3 linked regions of the Macaca fascicularis genome follow. The protein of the gene in region 2 interacts with the protein of the main gene of each other region in a pairwise test. Links are inferred from orthologs where the notes say so. Each region holds a gene or a part of one and is shown on either strand. Other genes may lie near its edges.

Region 1 (5,065 bases), on a different chromosome or scaffold from region 2:
AAACCTGGCAGTGCTGGGCTGGCGGCCCCCCAGGGCCTCCTCTTCATGCCCAGTGAATGACTCACCTTGGCACAGACACAATGGTCAGAGTGGGCACACTGCCTGCTTCCCGCCGCACCCCAGTCCCCCTCAAATGCCTTCCGAGAAGCCCATTGAGCAGGGGGCTTGCATTGCACCCCAGCCTGACAGCCTGGCATCTTGGGATAAAAGCAGCACAGCCCCCTAGGGGCTGCCCTTGCTGTGTGGCGCCACTGGCGGTGGAGAACAAGGCTCTATTCAGCAAGTGCCCGGGAAAGGGGATCAGGGGAGGCCCAGGCATGGACAGTGGGTGGCAGGCGGGAAGAGGAGGGCTGTCTGCTTCCCAGAAGTCCAAGTACACAAATGGGTGAGGGGACTGGGCAGGGTTCTGACCCTGTGGGACCAGAGTGGAGGGCGTAGATGGACCTGAAGTCTCCAGGGACAACAGGGCCCAGGTCTCAGGCTCCCAGTTGGGCCCAATGGCTCCTGCGTTTCCAAACCTATCCATCCCCAGAGGTCCTTCCCATCTCCCCAGGCTGATGTGTGGGAACTCGAGGAAATAAATCTCCAGTGGGAGACGGAGGGATAAAGACTCAAGCCAGCACAGCCAGCTCACGCGTAACTGCTTTGTGGAGCTGTCAAGGCCTGGGCTCTGGGAAAGAGGCACAGGGAGGCCAGGCAAGGAAGGAGTGACCCGGAGGGACAGACCCAGGGGCTAAAGTCCTGATAGGGCAAGAGAGTGCCAGCCCCCTCTTGCTCTATAAGGACCTCCACTGCCACATACAGGCCATGATTGATGCTTAGACAAAGGGCTGGTGTCCAATCCCAGCCCCCAGCCCCAGAACTCCAGGGAATGAATGGGCAGAGAGCAGGAATATGGGACATCTGTGTTCGAGGGGAGGACTCCAGGAGTCCTGGGAATGGGGCCTAGTAGGAAATGATGATATAGGCACCCCTTGAGGGTACTGAACAGGTTTGTTCTTCGCCAAATTCCCAGCACCTTGCAGGTACTTACAGCTGAGTGAGAGAAGGCCTGGGTTATGAAATCAAAAAGTTGGAAAGCAGGTCAGAGGTCATCTGGTACAGCCCTTCCTTCCTTTTTTTTCTTTCTTTCCTCTTGAGACAGGGTCTCTCTCTGTTGCCCAGGCTGGAGTGGCGCAAACACAGCTCACTGCAGCCTCAACCTACTGGGCTCAAGCAATCCTCCAGCCTCAGCCTCCCAAAGTGCTTGGATTACAAGCATGAGCCACCCCACCCAGCCCTTTTCTTCCTTTTTAATTGATGCATAACGATTGTAAGTATTCATCACGGTCCAACCAACCCCTTCTTGACCCACCTTCCTAGAGAGAGGGTCCTCTTGCTTCAATGGTCACGGCCCCAGACCCATGGTCTGGCTCCAGGCACCACCTGCCTCATGCAGGAGCTGGCGTGCCCAGGAAGCTCTGCCTCTGGGCACAGTTACCTCAATGGGGTGAGTGGAGCTCTCCCCATAGCTGGGCTGCGGCCCAACCCCACCCCCTCAGGCTATGCCAGGGGGCGTTGCCAGGGGCAGCCGGGCATCACCAGTCCAGCCCACTCCTTCATAAAGCCCTCGCATCCCAGGAGCGAGCAGAGCCAGGGTAGGATGGAGAGGAGACGCATCACCTCCGCTGCTCGCCGCTCCTACGTCTCTTCGGGGGAGATGATGGTGGGGGGCCTGGCTCCTGGCCGCCGTCTGGGTCCTGGCACCCGCCTCTCCCTGGCTCGAATGCCCCCTCCACTCCCGACCCGGGTGGACTTCTCCCTGGCCGGAGCACTCAATGCTGGCTTCAAGGAGACCCGGGCCAGTGAGCGGGCAGAGATGATGGAGCTCAATGACCGCTTTGCCAGCTACATCGAGAAGGTTCGCTTCCTGGAACAGCAAAACAAGGCGCTGGCTGCTGAGCTGAACCAGCTGCGGGCCAAGGAGCCCACCAAGCTGGCCGACGTCTACCAGGCTGAGCTGCGAGAGCTGCGACTGCGGCTCGATCAACTCACCGCCAACAGTGCCCGGCTGGAGGTCGAGAGGGACAATCTGGCACAGGACCTGGGCACCGTGAGGCAGAAGTGAGGAGGGGATGGGGAAAGGGGGCCTTGTGAGCAGAGGGGGCTGAACCCCCGAGAGAGAGTGCCCGAGAAGTCTCAGGCAAGGGCTGAGCCTCCCTGCTCCCTGGGTCTCCCTACCTCTTGATGGGGCACTATCCTTGCACCCCAACATGATGGCAGGGACCAGAAACAGGCCCAGGACCCCAGGGATCTGATTCCCACATGCCTTCTGCCAGGGAGCCAGGGTCCCCTCAGCACCTCCCCACTGGGGAAAGCAGTGCAGGAGCGGCTGGGCCCCCAGCAGCTGGGCCCTTGCGTTTCATTCATGGCTGGGCTTTGTGACTGTGGGCAGTGAGCTCACCTATTGTGAGCCTGGGTCCATATAAAGGAGGAGTTGGAAGCAGAGAAGGTTGGTGTCCATGAGGGAGATTGGATTCTGGGGTAAAGGAAGTGAGGGAAAGAGCAGGCAAGCCTGGGTGCAGCGCACAGGTGACTGCCTGCCACCAGCTTGTGACCTCCGTCAAGTCACTTTGACTTGCACAGCTGTGAAGCGGAGCTCATAATAAAATTCATTTCAAAAGGTGGTTACCTGGGATCAGAGGAATCCCCAGGGGATGGCGCTTCGCTGAGCTGACAGGACATGCGTGTGTGCCTTCAAGTGCAGGAGGACGTGTGTGTGTGTGTGCGCGCGCAGCAGTGTGTGTACGCTGGTGCATGCGCCTGTGTGAGGAGAAGCAGGTGCGCCAACCCTGATAAGGCACCTTAGTAATGAGTTAAGGCAAAAGCCCACATCTGCTCATCCTCCAGACAAGACCTCTGTCTAAGGCCCCCCAACCCTTACTCCTCCTGCTGCTCTACTGGTCCTGGGTGGGGGTGGTCTCTGTGACAGCTGCCTCCAGGGAGATTGAGGCAGGTAGCCAATGTCCTCAGAAGAGCCTGGACCCAGGAATGTGTCCCCCCACTCCAGGCTCCAGGATGAAACCAACCTGAGGCTGGAAGCCGAGAACAACCTGGCTGCCTATAGACAGGTCAGGGAGGTGGAGGGGAGGGGCAGGGGAGGGAGGCAAGGGTTCATGGCCACTCACCCAAACACAGCCCCCAAGCTCAGCCCTCCAGAGCAATGTGCTGCTCCCCACTGACCCAGAAGGAGGGGTAAGGGAAGGCTGAGCAATGGGGAGGAGGAGCCTGGGGCCCGAGTGGCCCTCTACTCCTTACCCCTCCTGCCACTCCAGGAAGCAGATGAAGCCACCCTGGCCCGTCTGGATCTGGAGAGGAAGATTGAGTCACTGGAGGAGGAGATCCGGTTCTTGAGGAAGATCCACGAGGAGGTGAGGCCAGGGCAGAGGAAGAAAAGCTCAACACAGAGACTGCAACTGAGAGAGGGAGGGACAGAGACAGAGGCTGTCCTGTGTCCAAGGCTTAACAGGCTTACTCCCCATCCTCCCAGTCAAGACTGGACTCCTCACCTTCCCCATCTCTTCTGCCTCCTTGGAACTTTTGTCACCACTTTGCCCTCCCTCTTCCATCTGCCTTCAGATAGGCATGCGCCCCTCCCAGATAACACTCAAGCCCCTTGCAGTCTCTGAGAGACACACTCAGAGAGAGGAGAGGAACAGAGATTGGCAGGTAGAGACAGGAAATGAAAGACACAGAGAAAGGCAGTAAGGGAGACAGAAAGAGATGAGAGAACATTCTAGCCCCTGGCCGAAGGGCAGGAAGAAGGGGACACGATGCTGTGAGGAACTGCAGCTGTGGCCTGTACCCTGAGGCCTGGTACCCCTTCTCTCACCCTGGCCAGGAGGTTCGGGAACTCCAGGAGCAGCTGGCCCGACAGCAGGTCCATGTGGAGCTGGACGTGGCCAAGCCAGACCTCACCGCAGCCCTGAAAGAGATCCGCACGCAGTATGAGGCAATGGCGTCCAGCAACATGCATGAAGCTGAGGAGTGGTACCGTTCCAAGGTAGCCCTGCCTGTGGGCCAGCCTGCCTCCTCTAGGCAGCCCTTCTTGCTCCATACAAGAGAATGGGGGAAGGAGGGTGGAAGAAGCTGGGAGAATATCCTCTCCAGGTGACTGACCTTCACCAGAGAAGTGAGATGACTTGCCCAGGGCCACACAGGCACTACTGCTTTCAAAAGTGCCCGTTATTATTACTGCTACTATTGCTATTATTAGTAGTAGCTGATACTGTTCTGTGCTAAGCTCTGTGCTTTTCATGCATTACCTCACTATGAAGTAGGTGCTGTTCTTTGACAGATGAGAGAGCTGAAGTCCAGAGAGGTTAACTAATTTGCTCAAAGTCACACAGCTCCTAAGTGGTAGAGTTGGATTTCCAACTCTAGCCCATCTCACTTGGGAGCCTGCATTCCATGCCTCTGCCAGTCTGTTTTGGGTTACTGAGCCTCTACCGTATGCCAGGCACCCCCTCAGGACACAGAGAGGTGTCTGAGCTGGAAGGTGTGATGTTGACGTGCACCCAAACATAGTGCCGGTAGAGAACACCACAGCTCGGAGCTTATATGTAGTGTGGGAGCCAGGTAAGACGCTGTAGGTGGGGCATTTGGGCTAGGCAGGACAGGCAGGCTGTGGACAGGAAGAGAAGAAGGGAGGGCCATTTCTGGTGGAGGACAGAGCCTGGAGTCAGAAAAGCACAGAGAGGCAGAGCCCGAAGATGCTGGCCTAGCCAGCGCACCTAGCTGAGGAGTGTAAGTAGTAGAAACCACTGGCGTCTGAGCAGGGTGAAGGCCCAATGGAGCTGGGAGGACCTCCCTGCAGTGGGGGGAGAAAGGGCTATTAGAACCCAGGGTGAGGCCAGGCATGGTGGCTCACACCTGTAATCCCAGCACTTTGGGAGGCCAAGGCAGGCGGATCACCTGAGGTCAGCAGTTCAAGACTAGCCTGGCTGATATGGTGAAACCCTGTCTCTACTAAAAATACAAAAATTAGCCGGGCGCGGTGGCGGGCGCCTGTAGTCCCAGCCACACG
Region 2 (5,374 bases):
AGGTATTTTGTTTGTTTGTTTGAGACAGAGTCTTGCTCTATTGCCTAGGCTGGAGTGCAATGGTACGGTCTCGGCTGACTGCAACCTCCGCCTCCCAGGTTCAAGCGATTCTCCTGCTCAGTCTCCAGAGTAACTGGGATTACAGGCGCCTGCTACCACACGCAGCTGATTTTTATATTTTTAGTAGAGATGGGGTTTCATCATGTTGGCCAGGCTGGTCTTGAACTCCTGACCTTGTGATCCACCCACCTCGGCCTATCAAAGTGCTGGGATTACAGGTGTGAGCCACTGCACCCAGCCTGTTTTTAAGTGACAGAAAAAATTACCTCCTTTTCCACAAAGACCTCAGAAGTCTCAAAAGTTAAGTGGCAGAGGTGAGAGTTCAACCCAGGCTGGAAAAGGGGGACAGTAATACATATATCAAAAAGTTATGATGAGATATTAAAAAGACAATAAATAGCAAAGATATTTACAAACCATAAAATGCATAAAGACGTAATTCTTTTTCTGCCAAGGAGGCAACAATTAATCTTACAGAGGTCTGGAGCTCTAAGACACCAACATACCAGAGACTACTCAGACCTGGGCCCTTTATCTAAGTCTCAAATTAAAGGAGAGTAGTGGCCAGGCATGGTGGCACCCATAATCCCAGCACTTTGGAAGGTGGAAGCAGTGGATTGCTTGAGCTCAGGAGTTTGAGACCAGCCTGGCCAACATAGCAAAATCCTGTCTCTACTAAAAACACCAAAAACTAGCTGGGCATGGTGGCACATGCCTGTGATCCCAGCTACTCAGGAGGTTGAGGTGGGAGAATTGCTTGAGCCCAGGAGGCAAGGGTTGCAGTGAATCGAGATCACGCCACTGCACTCCAGCCTGGATGACAGAGCGAGACCCCATCTCAAAAAAACAAGATAAATAAATAAAATAAAGGAGAGTAGCATTCTTACCCTTTGATAGCCCATTCTTCTAACTGTGCTGGGTGGCATTCCTGAAGAGGATTCTCTAAGCAGTGTCCAGGTAACCCACTCTTCCCTGAAGTCCTCAGCCACATTATCAAGGGTCATCAGTTCCTAAAGCAAGAGACCTCGATATGCATCAGTAGCTCCCTAGGTATTCTCACCATTGTCTGAAAGCCAAAAAATGGCCATCAGTGTACACAAACAACCCCCCACACCTGATCAGAATGGTCCTGAGGTAAATTCTGTCAACCACAGAGGGTTGCTTTTCTTAGTCTGTTTTTACATACATCTTCTCCTGGCCAACTTTCCCATTACTAAGAGAGGCCTAGGCCTCCCAAACACATGGACAGAACCCAGTCTTTTAGATACATTAACTTTTTGAGGAAAAAATTGTCCACGATGAACAAGGTAAACAAAGGAGAGAGTTGGTAGGTACAATTTGATTTCTGGAAAGCTTTTGATTCTCCCCAACTTCATTTTCCTCAGCAACCAAGGAAATTGTGGACTTAACTATACTCATATTAGTTATGAGAACAGCTGACTTCTTGGCTTGCAGATTTGGGGTCAACCTCAAGGGACAGATTATGCAGAACCCCAAAGAGAACTGTGTTGGATACCACTCTATTTCAAGATCTTAATGGAGTCAGAAATAAGACTGAAAAAGACATGTGTTTTTTTTTTTTAAAAAAAGACATGGATAAGTTGTAAAAATAAGTGAAAGTCAATGGGGATAAGCACAAAACACAACTCTTAGAGGCTGAAACCAATCATTAATATATTAATAAATTGACAGCAATATCATGAAAAACATTACTTTTTGGAGGATAGTCAGAGTCAACTACTGGATGGATCAGTAATTTATTCAACAATCAATATGTTGCCAGGCATAGGAGTCACAAAGAAATTAAGATAATGTTTTTTCCCTTAAAAACTTTCCAATACACCAGCCTCAGCAACATATTGAGACCCCTTTCTCTACAAAGAACTTTTAAAAATCAGCCAGGCATGGTGGCATGCACTTGTGGTCCCAGCTACTCAGGAGGCTGAGGTGGGAGGATCACTTCAGCCCAGGAGTTCAAGGCTGCAGTGAGCTATGATGGCGCCACTGCACTCCATGCACTCCAGCCTAGCAACAGAGTGAGCCCCTGTCTCTCCCTTAAAAAAAAAAAAAAAAATTCAGCCAGCATGACCACCCACTACAAAGAATATTGCATTTCACGGGAGGAAGGACCAGACTAGGGTGAAGAAGTTTTACTCTTTCACATCTTTTGTCCCACTACAAAGCACCTATTTACTACTGGAACACAGATACAGACACAGACACACACACACACACACACACACACACACACAGACACACTTTTGGGGGAAATATTTATGTATTTACAGACATTATTATTGGTCATTTATAAAGTATTGAGTTTTTAAGGATCTAAAAACCATTGCTCTGGTTTAAAACTTTAACAAACAACAATAATGTAATTAGAAAGTAAAAATGGTAATAACAGTTTTCAGTATTGGTCGGGCGCTGTGGCTCATGACTGTAATCCCAGCACTTTGGGAGAACGAGATGGGCAGATCACCTGGGGTCAGGAGTTCGAGATCAACCTGGCCAACATGGTGAAACCCTGTCTCTACTAAGAATACAAAATTAGCCGGGTGTGGTGGCGCACACCTGTAATCCCAACTACTCGGGAGGCTGCGGCAGGAGAATCGCTTGAACCCGGGAGGCAAAGACTACAGTGAACGGAGATAGCACCGTTGCATTCCAGCCTGGGCAACAAGAGCGAAATCCCCTCTAAAAAAAAAAAAAAAAAAAAAAAAAAAGAAGTAGAAGAAGAAAAAGGAAAAAAAAAAAAAAAGAGCTTTTAGTATAATTTTTATTTCTACATTCATTACAAAACACAGCTGCAGGGCCCCCTTGCTGGAGACTTCTTAGCCACGGTTATAGAAACCCTGTTTCCCAGCCCGTCCCTTTCCCCATGCGCAGATGACCTCAAAGGCCCTACAGCTCTGAGGGGCTGTGACTAAGTGCCATTGTGAGAATCTCCAGTGCGTTCACCGGGTTTATTAATAGGAACATGACTGCACGCGTGGGGCTGAACCCCGTTCTTCTTCTCGGTGCTGGGGCCCTAACCAGGGTGCGGCGGTCAGAGGGTGGCAGATCAGCTGAAACCCGGGGACCACCATCAAGAAGCAAGAAAACTGATTAAGAGAATGACTTATCTCGACGACGGTATAGAGACCACAGCTACCTCTCCCACACCCCAGCAAGACCCGGGGGCTCCCAAAGGCCAGCGTGGGAACCCCTCTGAGAAAACGTCTGGGTGGCGGGCGAGCCCCCTCCACGCCTCTCAGCAGCGCGCCGCTGCCGCCGCAGTCTCCCTCCTTGGATCACTCACCGCCCCAGGGCCCAGCTGGGGATGGAGCAGGAAGTGAGTCCTCCACCGCCGAGCCGCACCCGGCCCGCAACCCCGAGGCGGTCCCTCCCAGAACCCGACCGGGATTCGTGACAGGGCTGTGGGGACACAGGTGGGACTCAGGCTTCGACAGCTCGCAGCCGGAAAGTACCGCCCCTGTCCTCTTGCTATTGGCTTTTTAGTTTCCATGGCTAGAATGTTTCTCTGTCCATAGGCTGACAGAGCTATCAATTACCGCCTAGCCTTCTGGGAAACGTAGTCCCGAGCAAGACCTCAAAGGACTCGGAGCCTTGCATATCCAGTTCCAAGCGTTGAAAAGTGCTAAACCCAATTCCCCAGCTACCGGCCCCCAGGAACCGCCTGTTTGGAGCCTAGGGATCTAAATGCCGTACCCTCAGTGTGGCATCTGCTGATGTGAATCTCCTGGCCTCACCCACCTACCGCGGAGCAGCCTGGTGCCCAACGTGAGGTCTCCCGCGCTCTGGCACCTCGCCCCTCCCCAGCGCAGAGCAGCTCAGCCCTCTGGCCTTTGCAGCCTCTCTTCTGCCCAGTCTTCCACCTCACACCCGGCGGCCGGAGCCTGCAGAGTGTTTGCGGAGGCCGGGTCCCAGACCAACTCAAACTGGACATAAGAAAGGCCCAGCAGACGCCCTTAGGAGAAAACAGACATTCCGTATCCTTCCCTTGGCATCAAACTCCCAGGCGCATCCCCTTTCCGTCTGGTTGATAGCCAGAGGAGGCGGGCGAGGGCATCAAGTATTCTGGGAAATGTGATATTGGGCTTCAAACTGGGGAGGCTCCTGGGTCTCATGTGAAAGCCAGTGGTCACTTTGGGTCGGCCCCTAGCTAAAAAATAATGTCTTTCCTTAAAGTGAAGAAAATGTGCCTGTCTACTCCGTTTGTTGATTCAGTGCAATTTAGAAAAAGAAAGAACATTTTGTGATGTACTATAAAACGCTTAGAATTGCTAGCCATAGGCCGGGCGCGGTGGCTCAAGCCTGTAATCCTAGCACTTTGGGAGGCCGAGACGGGCGGATCACGAGGTCAGGAGATCGAGACCATCCTGGCTAACACAGTGAAACCCTGTCTCTACTAAAAAATACGAAAAACGAGCCGGGCGAGGTGGCGGGCGCCTGTAGTCCCAGCTACTCCGGAGGCTGAGGCAGGAGAATGGCGTAAACCCGGGAGGCGGAGCTTGCAGTGAGCTGAGATCTGGCCACTGCACTCCAGCCTGGGCGACAGAGCAAGACTCCGTCTCAAAAAAAAAAAAAAAAAAAAAAAAAAAAAACAAAGAATTGCTAGCCATAGAGTTAATGTTGAAGATCCCTTTGATGCTAATTCCACCATTCCTTCAACAAAAATAGTGTGCATTTTCCAGTGGATATTTATTGGGAACATTCTATACTCAAGATCGTTCTGGGAACTGTGGTTACTCGGGAATCATACATAACCATTACCTTCATGAAGTTTACAGGCCAAAAGGGGAGATAAACCATAAAAGGTATGAAAATCCTAAGTAATATTTTGTCTTTTTTTTTTTCATATAGCCAGTTGTATCTTAGTTATTTTGCTACAATTGTAGTCATCTGCAAGATAATTACATTGCATTTTCAGAAACTCTGTCGACTGTGAACAAATATCTGGTTAGCAGAGGTAGTTAGATGTAGTTAGATTTAGTCAGATGAAAATGAGGAAAATGGAAATCCCAGAGGAGCTCAGTAACAAAGGAATGCCCAGGAAACCTAGGGATTGCCAGGCCTTCTGTAACTGGAACAGAGTTCAGGACCTGGAGAACTGAAGGCATCTTCAGGCCCCTCGGTAAGTCTTTCTAGCATTTTGCCATCAGGGAGATCATGAAGATTACTCTTCAATCTGGGACTGGAGTGGGGAGATGAATGAAGAGTCACAGAATCTGGCTGGTGGCTATCCCTGTCACTCTCTCCAGCTTCTGTTCCTTCTGCCTTACCTTGTTCTCTCAGCGGTTTGTTCACAATG
Region 3 (5,064 bases), about 94 Mb from region 2:
TTCCATACAGCATCATCCACCTATGCGTCCCCTTCATTATGTCCGCGTTGCTTCTCCACCTCATACACCTCTTAATCCCAGCATGCACCCGCTGCGGGATGACCGGGTTTCCATGTCTGGCTTCCCCAGGCAAAGCCCAGGCCTGACTCATCTCCATCCCTGACTTGGGTTCAGGGATTGCCGATTGAACCAACAATTACAATTCCCCCACATGGCTCAGAGCTGGGCCCTGGCTGATCCCCACCCCAGGCAGACCCCAGAGGCTGTTGTACTGTCCTACAGACTCATGGCCTGCTGAGGCAAGGGCCACTTTTGAATTCCCTTCCTAGCTAGAGGGGAGAGAAGAGCCCCAGCATCTCCTGACTCCTGCCACACTGGCCAGGGTCCATCTCCCAGCAGACTGTGGACTCATGGAGGGCAAGGTCTGTGTCAGACTCACCTAAGCGACCCCAATGAGGAGGGAAGAGTGGGTGCTTAGGGACAGCATGTTAGGTGAGTGTAGAATTCATCCACTTATTCATCATTCATTCACTCCTATAATGATTAAAGCAATAGAGACACCTCTGGCCAGCTTCTCCCACCACAGGCCACAATCTGGTGCCGCTCTTAGGACACAGTAGTCACTCCCCTGACTGTAATGGGTGTTAAGATTCTGATACGGAGCCCTAGAGAGGAGACGGTGAGTCAGCGGCAGAGGAAGAACCAGAACCCAGGGCTGCAGACCTCCGTCCAGGACTCTCCACTAAGGCTAGTGACCAGCTCTCGGCAGGAGGGGGAGCCAGGAGAGAACCCTGCGGGGTGATTCTAGACCAACATGGCAAGTCCTAGGGTCACCTTCCGATCTGTCCCAGGGATCCTTACCTCCCTTAGGGGGAGCAGCCACACCTCCCCACCACCATGGCCTCCACACTCCAGCAGGGCACAGCCTCTCTAAGTCTTGAGACTTGAACACTCTACACTCTCCCCATCACTTTCAGGCCTTGGGCCAAGCTCTGGTAACACGCCTTGACCCCTTCATCTGTTCAGCAACTACTCAGCCCTTGGGCCCCACCTCCTCTGACCCTGGGTAATGATTTGTGGACTATGTTCAATAGTCATGGACTCATGGGCTGCAGCCAGTCCCTCCCATCCCTCCCTTCCATCCATCCATCCATCCATCCCTCCCTCCCATCCATCCATCCATCCATCCATCCCTCCCTTCCATCCATCCATCCCTCCCTCCCATCCATCCCTCCCTCTCTCTCATCCATCCATCCACCCATCCATCCATCCCTCTCTCCCATCCATCCATCCATCCCTCCCTCCCTCCCTCTCATCCAACCATCCATCCATCCATCCATCCATCCATCCATCCATCCATCCCTCTCTCCCATCCATCCATCCATCCATCCCTCCCTCCCTCCCTCTCATCCAACCATTCATCCATCCCTTCCATCCATCCATCCATCCATCCATCCATCCATCCGTCTATCCATCCATCCACTCTTCAACATCAGGAGTGCCTGCAGGAGTAGGGAAGCTCCTTCAAAGTGTTGCCGTGGAGATGATGCGTGGAAATGCTGATCCAGGGCCCAGCACATAGCAGGCGTTCCATAAATGGCAGCTATGTGGGCCAGACCCTGTGCCCTAGTCTTGGGAGAGTGGATGGAAGATCATCCAGATTGCTTAGGGCTCATTTCCTCTCCCCGGCCCTGGGATCTGACAGGTGTCCCCCCACTCCACTCCAGCCCATGGAAAACTCATCCTCCAAGCTGAGGTCCTAGGCAGCCCTCCTCCCCACTCAGCTCCCAGGTGCGAACAGTTCCAGGTTTTGACGACAAACGGAACGCGGAGCGTAGGAATCTATAAATATGAGACAAAAGCTGGGGAGGGCCCTGGGCAGCAGCGCAGCCGCCCATCGCCCCGAGCCCGCGTTCCGAGCCCAGGCAGAGCCGCATCTGCCACGGTGCTTGCTTTTCCAAGCCGCCCTGATTATAGTGAGAGTCGGGAAAATTAAGGGTTTGCAGGATGCTGCTGGGGCCCTTGTTGCCGTCTCCCCGCCCTTCGTGTCACAGATGCCAGGCAGAGCCACCCCCAACGGCCACTTGCCTCGGTTGGCAAGACCAAGCCCAGCCTGGCAGGGCTGCACACCACAGTTTGTTAGGGGCTTTTGCCCACAGTCCTCGTGGGAGCCTGGCCCTGGGAGTGGTGGGGGTCGCTGCGGCTCTTGACAGGCAGAGGAACTGGGGCCCAGAGAAGGAAAAGGACCTGTCCATGGCCTCCAGAGAGCCAGAGCACTGGGGCCTCCGACGGAGCGTGGCCGTGGAGACCCCGCCCCACCCATACCCCCAGGACTGGACCCCCAATCTGCACTGGCCCGACCTTGGCCATGCGGACTCTGCACGTGCAATGCTCCCTACCCATCCGGCCCGCTCCCGGGTGCCCACTCTGCTCCCATTCTGCCTGCTCAGGAGACTCCAGCGTGTCGCCCACGCTGTTCCTGCCCTGAGGAAACCACATTGGGGATGGGGTGGGGCACAGATGAGGAAGGAAACACCTCTAAACCAAGCAGGAAGCGGAAACGCTGGGGCAGAAATTCCCATCCAACGTGCTGGGGCTCAGGGAGGGTGAGCGCGCTGGCTGAGCCGCTCTGGGCGAGGCCCTGGCCTCCCTGAGCCTCAGTTTCCTCGCCTGTAAAGGGGCAGGAGGATAGTACCTGCCGCGAGGCACTGAATGGGATGGTGGTGTCCGAGGCTCGTGCGCGCCCACGCGCTGCAAACGCTCAATGAGGCGGCCCCGGGTCCAGCCTCCTTCCGGCTCCCGGGCCTTTCTCCGGCCTCCCGAGCAGGGGCTGGCCCTGCCCCCTGACGCAGGCGGGTCCAGGCCTGCCCGCACCCTCGCCACCCGCCTGGGACAGCGGCGCGTCCCCAGTCCTCCAGCCGCGCCCTGGGTCCCCAGCCCCTCCCTTCCTCCCGCCGCAGGGGCGCGCGTGTCAGGGCGCAAGGACCCCGCGATCGGACCCGGGCGCTCGCGGCGGCGCGCGGAGGCCGGGCATCCCCGCCCCACCCGAGAGTGCCCAGTTCCCAGGAGACCCGGCCCGGCTCCTCCCGGGCCAGTGAAGCCGCCACGGCGGGGGCGCCGCGCGGAGGGGAGCAGGGCGGGGAGCCGGCCACCTCCGGCGCCGAGCAGGGACCGCCCCAGGCGTGGGTGGCGCCCGCCCCGCCTCCGCGCCCGCGCCCGCGCCCTGCCCTCCCGGCTCGCAGGTACTCACCGCCCGGCGCAGCCGGCCCGGCCGGCGACCGCCTGTCCACATGGCCCCGGGGCAGCCGCGCCGCTCACCGCCGCCGCCGCGCTCGGGTCCCGCCGCCGCCGCCGCTACCGCCGCCCCCTCCCCTCCGAGGCCGAGCGCGCCGGGAGCCGGCGCGGCCGGGGCTCCCCCACCCCGCCCGGCTTCCCGCAGGGAGCGCCCGCCCCCCGCCCCCAGCCCGGCTCCCCGCCAGCCCCGGCCCCGCGCAGCCGCGGCTGAGCCCGCACTTCCCCCCCGCAGCGCTCGGCCGGGGCGCACGTGGTGGGCGCAGGGCCGGGCAGGGGCGCGGGGGTGCGGCGTGCGCGGGGGGCGGGCGAGGAATGGCAGAGGGGCAGGGAATGAATGAACCCGCGCGTGCATGAATGGCAGAGTGCATGAATGAATGAGTGCGGTAGAGCCTGCGGGAGGAATGAATAAATGAGGGAACTAATGCACGGGCGCGAAGGTGAGTGACAGAGTGAATGGGCCCTTGAAACCCAGAGGCCGTCAGTAACAACCTGCCCAACCTTTTCATCGGTCCATCCATTCAATCCCTCAACATTTATTAGACGCCTTCTGTGTACCAACCAGCCTCGTTCTAGGCCCCAGGGGGTACAGCAGCCAGAGAAACCAAGCTCCTGCCCTCGCAGAGTCACATTTTACAGATGAGGAAACCCTGGTTCCCAAGGGTGCCGCCTGGCCAAGCTGCCCCTGCTCTGCCCCAGCCCCCAGTCGGTGGCTCTCAGGGCCTTCTTTCTCCCCAGGGAGCTCTCAGGAAGGAAAGGTGGCTTCAGGAGGACCAGTGTTGCCCCCTGCCTCTCCCCCTAGTCTGAAGCATCCCACCGACCTGCCCGGGTAGAGCCCAGGCTGGCTCAGTCCCGCCCTGGTAAAGGTACAGTGTGAATCCTCCGCTTTCCTCCCAGAGCGGGCAAGGGGCAGCCCTGAGGGTGCCAGCTACATGAGGGTCTTCCATCCCAGCCAGGCCAGCAGCAGCCAGCGTGGGAACCCCGGGAGGAGCACTGGCAGCCGGGGAGGGTCCTGCATGGTGGAAACAGAGCTGACAAAGCCCGTGTGCTTTGCTCATATCCTCTGTCTGGACCTATGGGCTCATGGTTCACACATGCTTATATCATTTCCAAGTACATGGCAGATTAGAAGATGCTGCCAATGAGTACCTTGTACATTTTTGTTTTTTAATTGCAGAAAACATGGAAAACATAACATTTACCATTTGAACCACTTTTAAAGTGTACAGTTTGGGGACATTGAATTCCCACTGTTGTGCTACCATCACCACCATCCTTATATGCTGTATGTTGTATGCTTTGCAGTTTCTACACTCTCTCATTTAATCTGGGGAGTAGGTTGCTACATTCAGGCAGTGTCAGTGCTGAAAAAAGGCGCTGATAGCAAGGCAAGAGGGAAAACCCAGATAAAAAGGAGACAAGAAAAAGAACCAGCAGCTGACTGGAGCCATTTAGTGTCAAGCAAAGTCCTGTCTCTGCTCACTCTCAGGTCCGGTCTCTGCTCACTCTCAGGTCCGGTCTCTGCTCACTCTCAGGTCCCAGGGACATGATTGGGTAACCAATGGACAGAGGGAGGTGCCTCCAAGTGCACGCGGCCACAGTCAAGACAAAATGAGAGGTAGCAGCTCAGGACTGGGCTCTCCCCGTCCTTCGAAGCGTGAACAGACTTCTTCCAAACCCAGTCCCTGGTGTGCACCCCCGGACCAGCCTCTTTGCTCAGGGAGCCCTGGTTTCCCCAGCAGGAGTCAGAACAGCTTCTCTGACCTCCACTCT

What was found.
Region 1: the proteins of ZNF774 (region 2) and GFAP interact in a two-hybrid assay, tested with the Homo sapiens proteins (2 studies listed by BioGRID and IntAct). The link is inferred for Macaca fascicularis from reciprocal best matches to the Homo sapiens genes ZNF774 and GFAP.
Region 3: the proteins of ZNF774 (region 2) and BEGAIN interact in binary tests that used the Homo sapiens proteins (3 or more experiments, as listed by UniProt). The two-hybrid records come from large-scale screens. The link is inferred for Macaca fascicularis from reciprocal best matches to the Homo sapiens genes ZNF774 and BEGAIN.

The regions. Positions count from the first base shown.
Region 1 is NC_088390.1:65,968,172-65,973,236, reverse strand, and holds the start of GFAP (glial fibrillary acidic protein), read left to right. Parts: upstream 1-1,628; 5' UTR 1,629-1,642; coding exon 1,643-2,103; intron 2,104-3,049; coding exon 3,050-3,110; intron 3,111-3,314; coding exon 3,315-3,410; intron 3,411-3,880; coding exon 3,881-4,042; intron 4,043-5,065.
Region 2 is NC_088381.1:74,886,194-74,891,567, reverse strand, and holds the start of ZNF774 (zinc finger protein 774), read right to left. Parts: upstream 3,490-5,374; 5' UTR 3,362-3,489; intron 1,071-3,361; 5' UTR 1,052-1,070; coding exon 948-1,051; intron 1-947.
Region 3 is NC_088381.1:168,677,215-168,682,278, forward strand, and holds the start of BEGAIN (brain-enriched guanylate kinase-associated protein), read right to left. Parts: upstream 3,438-5,064; 5' UTR 3,293-3,437; coding exon 3,251-3,292; intron 1-3,250. UniProt on the Homo sapiens protein: May sustain the structure of the postsynaptic density (PSD).